Linked DNA regions of Danio rerio. The protein of the gene in region 1 purifies or fractionates together with the protein of each later gene. This does not show direct contact. Links are inferred from orthologs where the notes say so. Each region holds a gene or a part of one and is shown on either strand. Other genes may lie near its edges.

Region 1 (3,500 bases):
CTTTTCCATAGTTTGATATCAACTTTTGACCTTGTGTTTCCCCTTATGTTAAATGCATCTTATGTTAATGATCAGGTCTGTTGTGCTGTTTTCAGGGTTGTTTGGTGAGCGCGAGCGGTCAGCATGTCGTCTTTCTCCGAGTCTGCGCTGGAGAAGAAACTGTCTGAACTGAGTAACTCCCAGCAGAGCGTCCAGACTCTGTCTCTGTGGATCATTCACCATCGCAAACATGCAGCGCTCATCGTGCGCGTCTGGCACAGAGAGCTGAAGAAGGGTGAGAGAGACACTCATTCACTGAAGCTTAACCCGGGTCAAAAATGGCCCATATACTTACTTTTCTAAAATGACCTTAAACATTTATTGTACATTGTCTTTTTTCATGAAGGCTGTGCACATTTAGAGTACAACAGTTGTCCTTTGGGTCTATTTTGACCCGCCAGCTATAAAAAAACTTTTACTCCACAGAAACTACTAGCACACACTACAACACACACACACAGAGTAGCTATGTTTCCATCCACATATTTCTATGCAAAGTTTGGATATGTGCATAAAAACACTGGTTAATGCAAACACCAAGAGGCACATACATTTTGAAAATGCGAATAAAAAACCTTTGCGCATAACTAAGTCGAATTAACTTTTATTTGATACGAAAAGATGCGCAATAAACTAAGATGGAAACGATTTTATGTGCATAAAAAAGTCATGTGATTTTGATATATGAGATCATGTGATGATAAAAACGTGTGTGAATGGACAAACCATCAGGCGGAGCACATTGTAAAACATCTGAAATGTTGTTTTGGTCATTCTAAAATGCCCTAACCATCTCAGTATTAGCGTTATTATATTATTAACCCTTGTATGGTGTTCGGGTCTGTGAGACCCTTTTCGTTTTTTTTTTTATTTTTTTTTTTTTATTAAACAATGAATTATTTTTTCAACCTGAAGTTCTTTGGCTTTGGCCTATTTTCTGTGAAGATCATAATTCCGAACAAATTTTCAATGACCGCATAATGTACCTCCACCCAGACATTTACATTACATACAAGGTGTTCGGGTTCACTAGACCCAGGTATAATAAGGGTGCTTTCACACCTACACTTTTGTTTCGGAACCTGTCTTGTTTGCCCAGTTAGTGCGGTTCGTTTAGCATATGTGAATCCACCAATCGCTCTCGAGTCCGCGCCAAATCAATCGCTCCGAGATCGCTTAAGTGAGGTGGTCTCGGCTCGATTGAAACGAACTCTGGAGCGGTTCGATTGCAGTGAGAAAGCGATCCGATCCGAGCGCGGTTATATCACAGTGTTTTATGGATATGTAATAGGCTTACGGCTATATGAAGAGAGAATTATGAGTATGGCGGGAACTTTTGCGAGTCTCCGGATGCCCGCAAACGAGTGATGATCTCCTGGCAATCTCGCATCTCCCTCCCGGTCCTCAAATAGGCTACGTCGCGCACCCTTCTCACCCCTCCCCACCTCATCTCTCCTTACTCTTCAGACACGTCGCGCGCACCCTGTCAAACACCACCAAACCACCACCTCTCCTGACAGCTGAGCGGGACGCTGCAAAATAAACCCTGACACTCTGACCAATGTGAGGAGAGTTTACTCGCACGTGACTTGTTTTAGCTCTTTTGGTCCGATTAGTAACTTTGCAGTGTGAAAGTGAACCGCTCCAAGAGCAAAGAGCAACAATGTAACAATTGTAATCCTTGTTTAGAACAACTGAATCGATTCACAGGTGTGAAAGCACTCATATCCTGTCCCATCTGCGAATTAGGGGCATAGTACTATAAATAAGACTTTGCCAGTGTGGTTCCTTATCAAAACTGATCAAGATGGCCAAAAGATTATCTGCTGCGAAGGCCTTGCAATTGATTGTGGAAGAGAGAGAGGAGCTTCGGATGATGATGTCCATGACCATTGTGGGAACAATACAAAAAAAAATCTGTTGGTTTTAAAAAAAAAAAAAAAACGAGAAGCACATTAATTCATCAGTATGATCTAACAAAGGTAAATGGCAAAAATTAACCATGTTTGCTGTGCATATGGCTTGTAATTGGGATTAAGTAAGCATTTGTTGAGTAGTTTAACGTCTCCTCCGACGGCCCGCACTCATATAGCATTCACGCCTGAGCACGCTTACGTCATCGATGATGCGCTCTTTAGTTTAACAGAAGAGAAGCACTCTGGGGAGCTCAGTGGTGGTTGCTTTAGTTATTGCATTAAATGGTTCGATATGCAGTGACACACAGTCAAATATTTCGCCTTATTTCGACTTAAAAGTCTTCGTGCGTCACGTATTAAAAGGTTTGCTGGAGGTGCAACTGTCGTGCAGTGAGGGGTTTAATAATCTACAATAGTTTGTGTTCATTAAACAGTAAGAATGATTGATAAATCCATATGAAACAGTCCCGTAAAAGTCATGTCTCGTCTTCAGTTTGGAGCTCAGGCGCACTTTGCACTCGCACTGTAAGCCCAAATGAACTGCGCTCTAGCACACCTCTTCCATCCGGGCCAGGGCTGGCCAACTGAATCATGCCTAAGGCCGATTCAGAACACTCACACTTTTCAAACGATCCGGGAAACGGGCCTGGCATGGTTCAGATACACCCATACTCTCTCACATTCATATACTCGTATACTACAGCCAATTGAGCTTGTTCAATTCCCTTATACCACATGTGCTTGGACTTGTGGGGGAAACCGGAGTACCCCGGGGAAACCCATGCCAACACGGGGAGAACATGCAAACTCCACACAGAAACGCCAACTGACCCAGCCGGGACTCGAATCAGCGACCTTTTTGCTGTGAGGAGACAGTGCTAACCACTATGCCGCCATAATTATCATCAATCAAGCTAAAAGATTGTGTTTGACTCTGTTCAGTCAGTGTTGGTGTTTTTTTGTACAATGAACGTTTATTAAGAAGAAACCGATATGATTGCATGTTATATATTGTATATTTAGTGTGGGTTTAGCTAATGCTGCTTATATGGCATTAAAACACTAATAAATAAAGGTAATAGTGATGATGTGTTTGTTTTTCAGCTAAAAGCAGCAGGAAGTTGACGTTCTTGTATCTGGCCAATGATGTGATTCAGAACAGTAAGAAAAAGGGTCCAGAGTTCGCAAAAGACTTCGAAGGCGTCCTGATTGATGCCTGTTCACACGTGGCCAGGTAAACAAACCCTCATTAATGCTTTTTGTTGTTCGTTTTCAAAAGCATAGATATAGTTGAAGTTATTCGCCCTCCTGTGCATTTTTCTCAAGTATTTCCCAAATGATGTTTAACAAATTCAGGAGTTTTTCACAGTATGTCAGATAATATTTATCCTCTAGAGAAAGTCTTGTTTGTTTTATTTCAGCTTGAAAAAAAGCAGTTTTTAATTGATTTAACGCCATTTTAAGGTCAAACTGATTAACCCCTTTAAACAATATTTATTTTGGCTTGTCTCTAGAACAAATCACTGTTATACAATGACTTGCCTG
Region 2 (4,006 bases), on another chromosome or scaffold:
TGAGTAAAATCGGATTTAGTGGAAACAACGATGATGTTATTGCTGGTTATTGGTTCAAATTAAATTACCATAATCTTAAGACAACATCGAAATTGATATCACTGTGTGTTCAATGTTTTAAAAACACAAATAAAATCGTTCGAATCTCATTTCACTAGTTATAGACCATTTCAGTGTGGTCATGTCTTTGGCCCATGAACATTTCCTGCTTGTTATCAAACTATTTTATAACTGTATCAAGAAGCAATTCAATCATAACTTAATATTAAAACAGCTATCATAACATTATTTATTAATATGTGTCTCTTTTTAGATTCTTAGAAGCTATAGAAATGTAAAACAGGAAATACGTTGGGACCATTGTTTTTGTTCACATCCCTCAAAATGGTCTATAGGCAACCATTCAGTTTGGAAAAGAACATGTTTTCTATTGTAAATAAGTTCTGCATTATTGATATTCATTCATTCATTCATTCATTCATTTGTTGCTTGCTTGATTGAAAAATCTCAAATTATTAAAAAATGCATGTTACAAATATTTATATTCTTTTAAAATGTATTTAATTATGTTTTATTTGCATGGCTATTAAAATTTAAGGACATTAAAAACGTATACAACATTGGGTCATAGCAAAAAATCATGCAAGTTGGGTTATTAACTGTTTATTTTATTTTTATTTTTTTTGTTACGTGACAATCTTAAAAGTTAAAACAGAAGCAAATGTGAACAACAAGATATCTGAATTTACTGTGTGGTTTTTAAAAGCTTTATTGTGTCCACGCCAATAGCCAATATATTTTGAACATTTAGCCTACTATTAGCATTTAAGCAGCACATACTCAAAACTTGCATATTCTCATTTTTAAAGAAAATGTTTTGAAAGAAATATACATTTTGGGCCTGACTTCAAAGGTTTTGATTTTCGAGGTAAAATGTCTGCAAATAAATAAATATCACACATAGCATTAAAAATCATAATGTAATAATCACTCATCTGGTGAAGTAGCTGCTAATAAATATGAATTCATTTATTTTTCATCTGCAGTGTCTTACCTTAATAGGGAATCTTATAGACAAAAACAGTTGAAGTGTCTACATTTGTATAAAAATAAAATTCTGAATCCAGAATCAACGCACACTAAACTAGCAGGGACTTTATTTCTAGGGAATCTTAGGGCTTTTAATTTGCAGTCGTTTTCACCCGGAAACATTCGCGTGCTCGCGCTGTCGAGATTCGGCGCCTGAACGCACTGACATAGAAAGTCGTGGCTGTAGAGTTTTAATTCAAGACTTTTGGAAGCTAAAATACAATAAGAGATGTTTTACCACGTAAGTCAGTGGGTGTTTTAGTTTTACGTGATAAGTGAGTTGCAGCACTTATAAATGTCCGTCAATGTTTTCTGTGCTCACTGTTGTTTACACGTTGTTTGTCACAATAGATCTCTCTGGAGCATGAAATTCTCCTCCATCCAAGATATTTTGGACCCAACCTTTTGAACACAGTCAAACAGAAACTGTTCACTGAGGTTGAAGGAACATGTACTGGAAAGTAAGTTAACGTTACTTCATCAATAAATGAATGAACGTTATGAGATCTGACTCTCTAATGCTCGTGTGTTGTTTCCCAGGTATGGCTTTGTTATTGCAGTAACCACAATCGATAATATTGGAGCAGGGGTTATACAGCCGGGCAGAGGTTTTGTGTTGTATCCCGTCAAATACAAAGCCATCGTCTTCCGTCCCTTCAAAGGAGAAGTTGTGGATGCTGTTGTCACTCAGGTTAACAAAGTACGGTTTGTGTTTTTATTTTCATACAACAGTTACAAAAATATAAATATAAAACATACATTATATAGAACATCAGTACGGGATAATTAATACTTATTAAAACAATAATGCTCAAACAAGGTGTTGTGTACATAATGTTTTATTATTTTCTAATTGTTCAATAAACTGGAGACTATTATTGTGCTTATACTATGGTTACTAGACATAAATGTTCAGGTCAGATGATTTAAATCGAGACATTTTTCAGATTTCTGTCCTCAGACAGCTCACGTGTGTAATACTTATGTAGTGTCATAATTATCTTAGCCAAAGCCTTTAGTTTTGATTTTTAAATGTGAAATAACTGTAACCATTCATCGTAGTGATGTGGAACTAATGCAGTCAAGACCTGCCTGGAACTGCGAAAGCAGTGTGCTTATTTAAAAATAATTGAACACCTTAAGTTTCACCAGCCAATCAAAATCAAGCCCTGTAGTATAATTACCTTTGTTTCAGACCCTTGGCAAATGGTCCTCAGAGCTTTTATATAGGCATAAGGTGTTATCAGATTTTCTAGTTGTGATAATTACTGAAGCTTTTATCACAATCTATGGCATTCTCAAAATATTGACTTAAGCAGTTACAAATTAGTTTTAATAACAAATAAACACTACATTTTGTGTATTGCACTTAAATGTTCACAGTTGACAGATTTTCCTAGCAAAATAAACTGTAAAAGTATTTCAAAGTGCCATGGGTAACACTTTACTAAACAATTTCATTTGTTTTAAATGTCAGTGTTAGTCTTGAACAATATAACTGAATGTTATTAGTTAATTATTATTCGTTAAGAATTTTACTTAACCTAGGAATAAAGAATAGGAAACGAGTTGAACCAATGGTAATGAACAATAGGTCTGTAAATAATCTAAACATTTTCAGTCGATGTCATTGGCCAGATTCATGTAAAAAATGTTTGCTTGCAAATAAATAGTCTATTAAATTGTCATGTTATTGACACCACTACCGATACAATAATCTGCTTAAACTAAAATGTTTTCTAATACTATACAGAAATAATAATTCAATGTAATTTTGAAGTGTCCATGATACCAATTTTAGGATTGTTCATTATCAGGATATATTGCAGGGAACCTGGCACATGTTTAACCGGCACTTCTAAGAGTAAAAAAAAAGCCTGCACTGGCAAAACAAAATGAACACTCGAATTGCGGCTCCTGACAATACATTTGTCTTACAAAGTGAAAGCTCAATCTCTACATGACACTGAACATTAATTTTTCTCTGCTACAGATTTTTCCAGTGTTCAATGCATTTTTTATTTCTTTTTTTCCCAGGTTGGACTCTTTACAGAAATTGGCCCCATGTCTTGTTTCATTTCTCGACATGTAGGTTTTCATGGTAAAATATATTCGTGTATTGGTAAAAGACATGTGTAATTGTCTTAAATCTGTGTGTGTGTGTTTTTTTTTGTGTGTGTGAATCTAGTCTATTCCCTCTGAGATGGAGTTTGATCCAAACTCAAATCCTCCATGCTACAAGACAGTGGATGAGGTAGGATTGAATGCTTTTTGTTTTGAAAGTTGTTCTTTTTCAACAGTTTTAAACACAATTTTTATTTTTTTTTTTTAACAGGACGTTGTGATTCAACAAGATGATGAAATTCGACTGAAGATTGTGGGAACTCGTGTGGACAAGAATGATATTGTAAGTAAATGCCAGTTTTCTCGAATATGTCGATGATATAAATCATTTTTTCAATGTTTATTAACAGTTTTTAATGACTTGTTTTGTCCTTTTATTTATTTTTTATTAGTTTGCCATTGGATCTTTAATGGATGACTACCTGGGTATATGTTTTCTACGATTTAAGCTTGAAACTATACTTATTAAATTGATAACAGAACGTTTTAATTAAGTCTTCTTTAAATAATTTCTGGTGATGATATCAAGCTTTTGTCTGAACATGTCTCTTATTCTTCTAGGTCTTGTGAGCTGATTCCTCTGCCGTGAATATGGGAAATTTGAGAGTTGTTGCTGTGGTGGTGATGATACTTAGTTTGTGTATATACTGTAATTATTTCCCTATTCATTTAGATTAGTTTTTCTTTTTTTCCATTTTCTGTTTTTATTGTCTCCTTTTATTAAAATGTTGGTAGTACAGTTTCAAGTTCAAATTTGAAACCAGATGAAGTCGAATGGGAACAAAGAGTAGCT

Evidence for each region. Proteins that work in one complex are often made in the same cells at the same time.
Region 2: the proteins of rprd1b (region 1) and polr2g purify together in Homo sapiens (affinity purification with mass spectrometry; 3 studies listed by BioGRID and IntAct, counting the BioPlex papers as one, with this or other methods). This does not show direct contact. The link is inferred for Danio rerio from reciprocal best matches to the Homo sapiens genes RPRD1B and POLR2G.

What each region holds. Positions count from the first base shown.
Region 1 is NC_133198.1:46,861,870-46,865,369, reverse strand, and holds part of rprd1b (regulation of nuclear pre-mRNA domain-containing protein 1B), read left to right. Parts: intron 1-95; 5' UTR 96-123; coding exon 124-274; intron 275-3,059; coding exon 3,060-3,189; intron 3,190-3,500. UniProt on the Homo sapiens protein: Interacts with phosphorylated C-terminal heptapeptide repeat domain (CTD) of the largest RNA polymerase II subunit POLR2A, and participates in dephosphorylation of the CTD by RPAP2. Transcriptional regulator which enhances expression of CCND1.
Region 2 is NC_133189.1:30,990,819-30,994,824, forward strand, and holds the start of polr2g (DNA-directed RNA polymerase II subunit RPB7), read left to right. Parts: upstream 1-1,206; 5' UTR 1,207-1,318; coding exon 1,319-1,330; intron 1,331-1,440; coding exon 1,441-1,550; intron 1,551-1,629; coding exon 1,630-1,789; intron 1,790-3,126; coding exon 3,127-3,177; intron 3,178-3,277; coding exon 3,278-3,343; intron 3,344-3,424; coding exon 3,425-3,496; intron 3,497-3,605; coding exon 3,606-3,639; intron 3,640-3,774; coding exon 3,775-3,788; 3' UTR 3,789-4,006. UniProt on the Homo sapiens protein: Core component of RNA polymerase II (Pol II), a DNA-dependent RNA polymerase which synthesizes mRNA precursors and many functional non-coding RNAs using the four ribonucleoside triphosphates as substrates.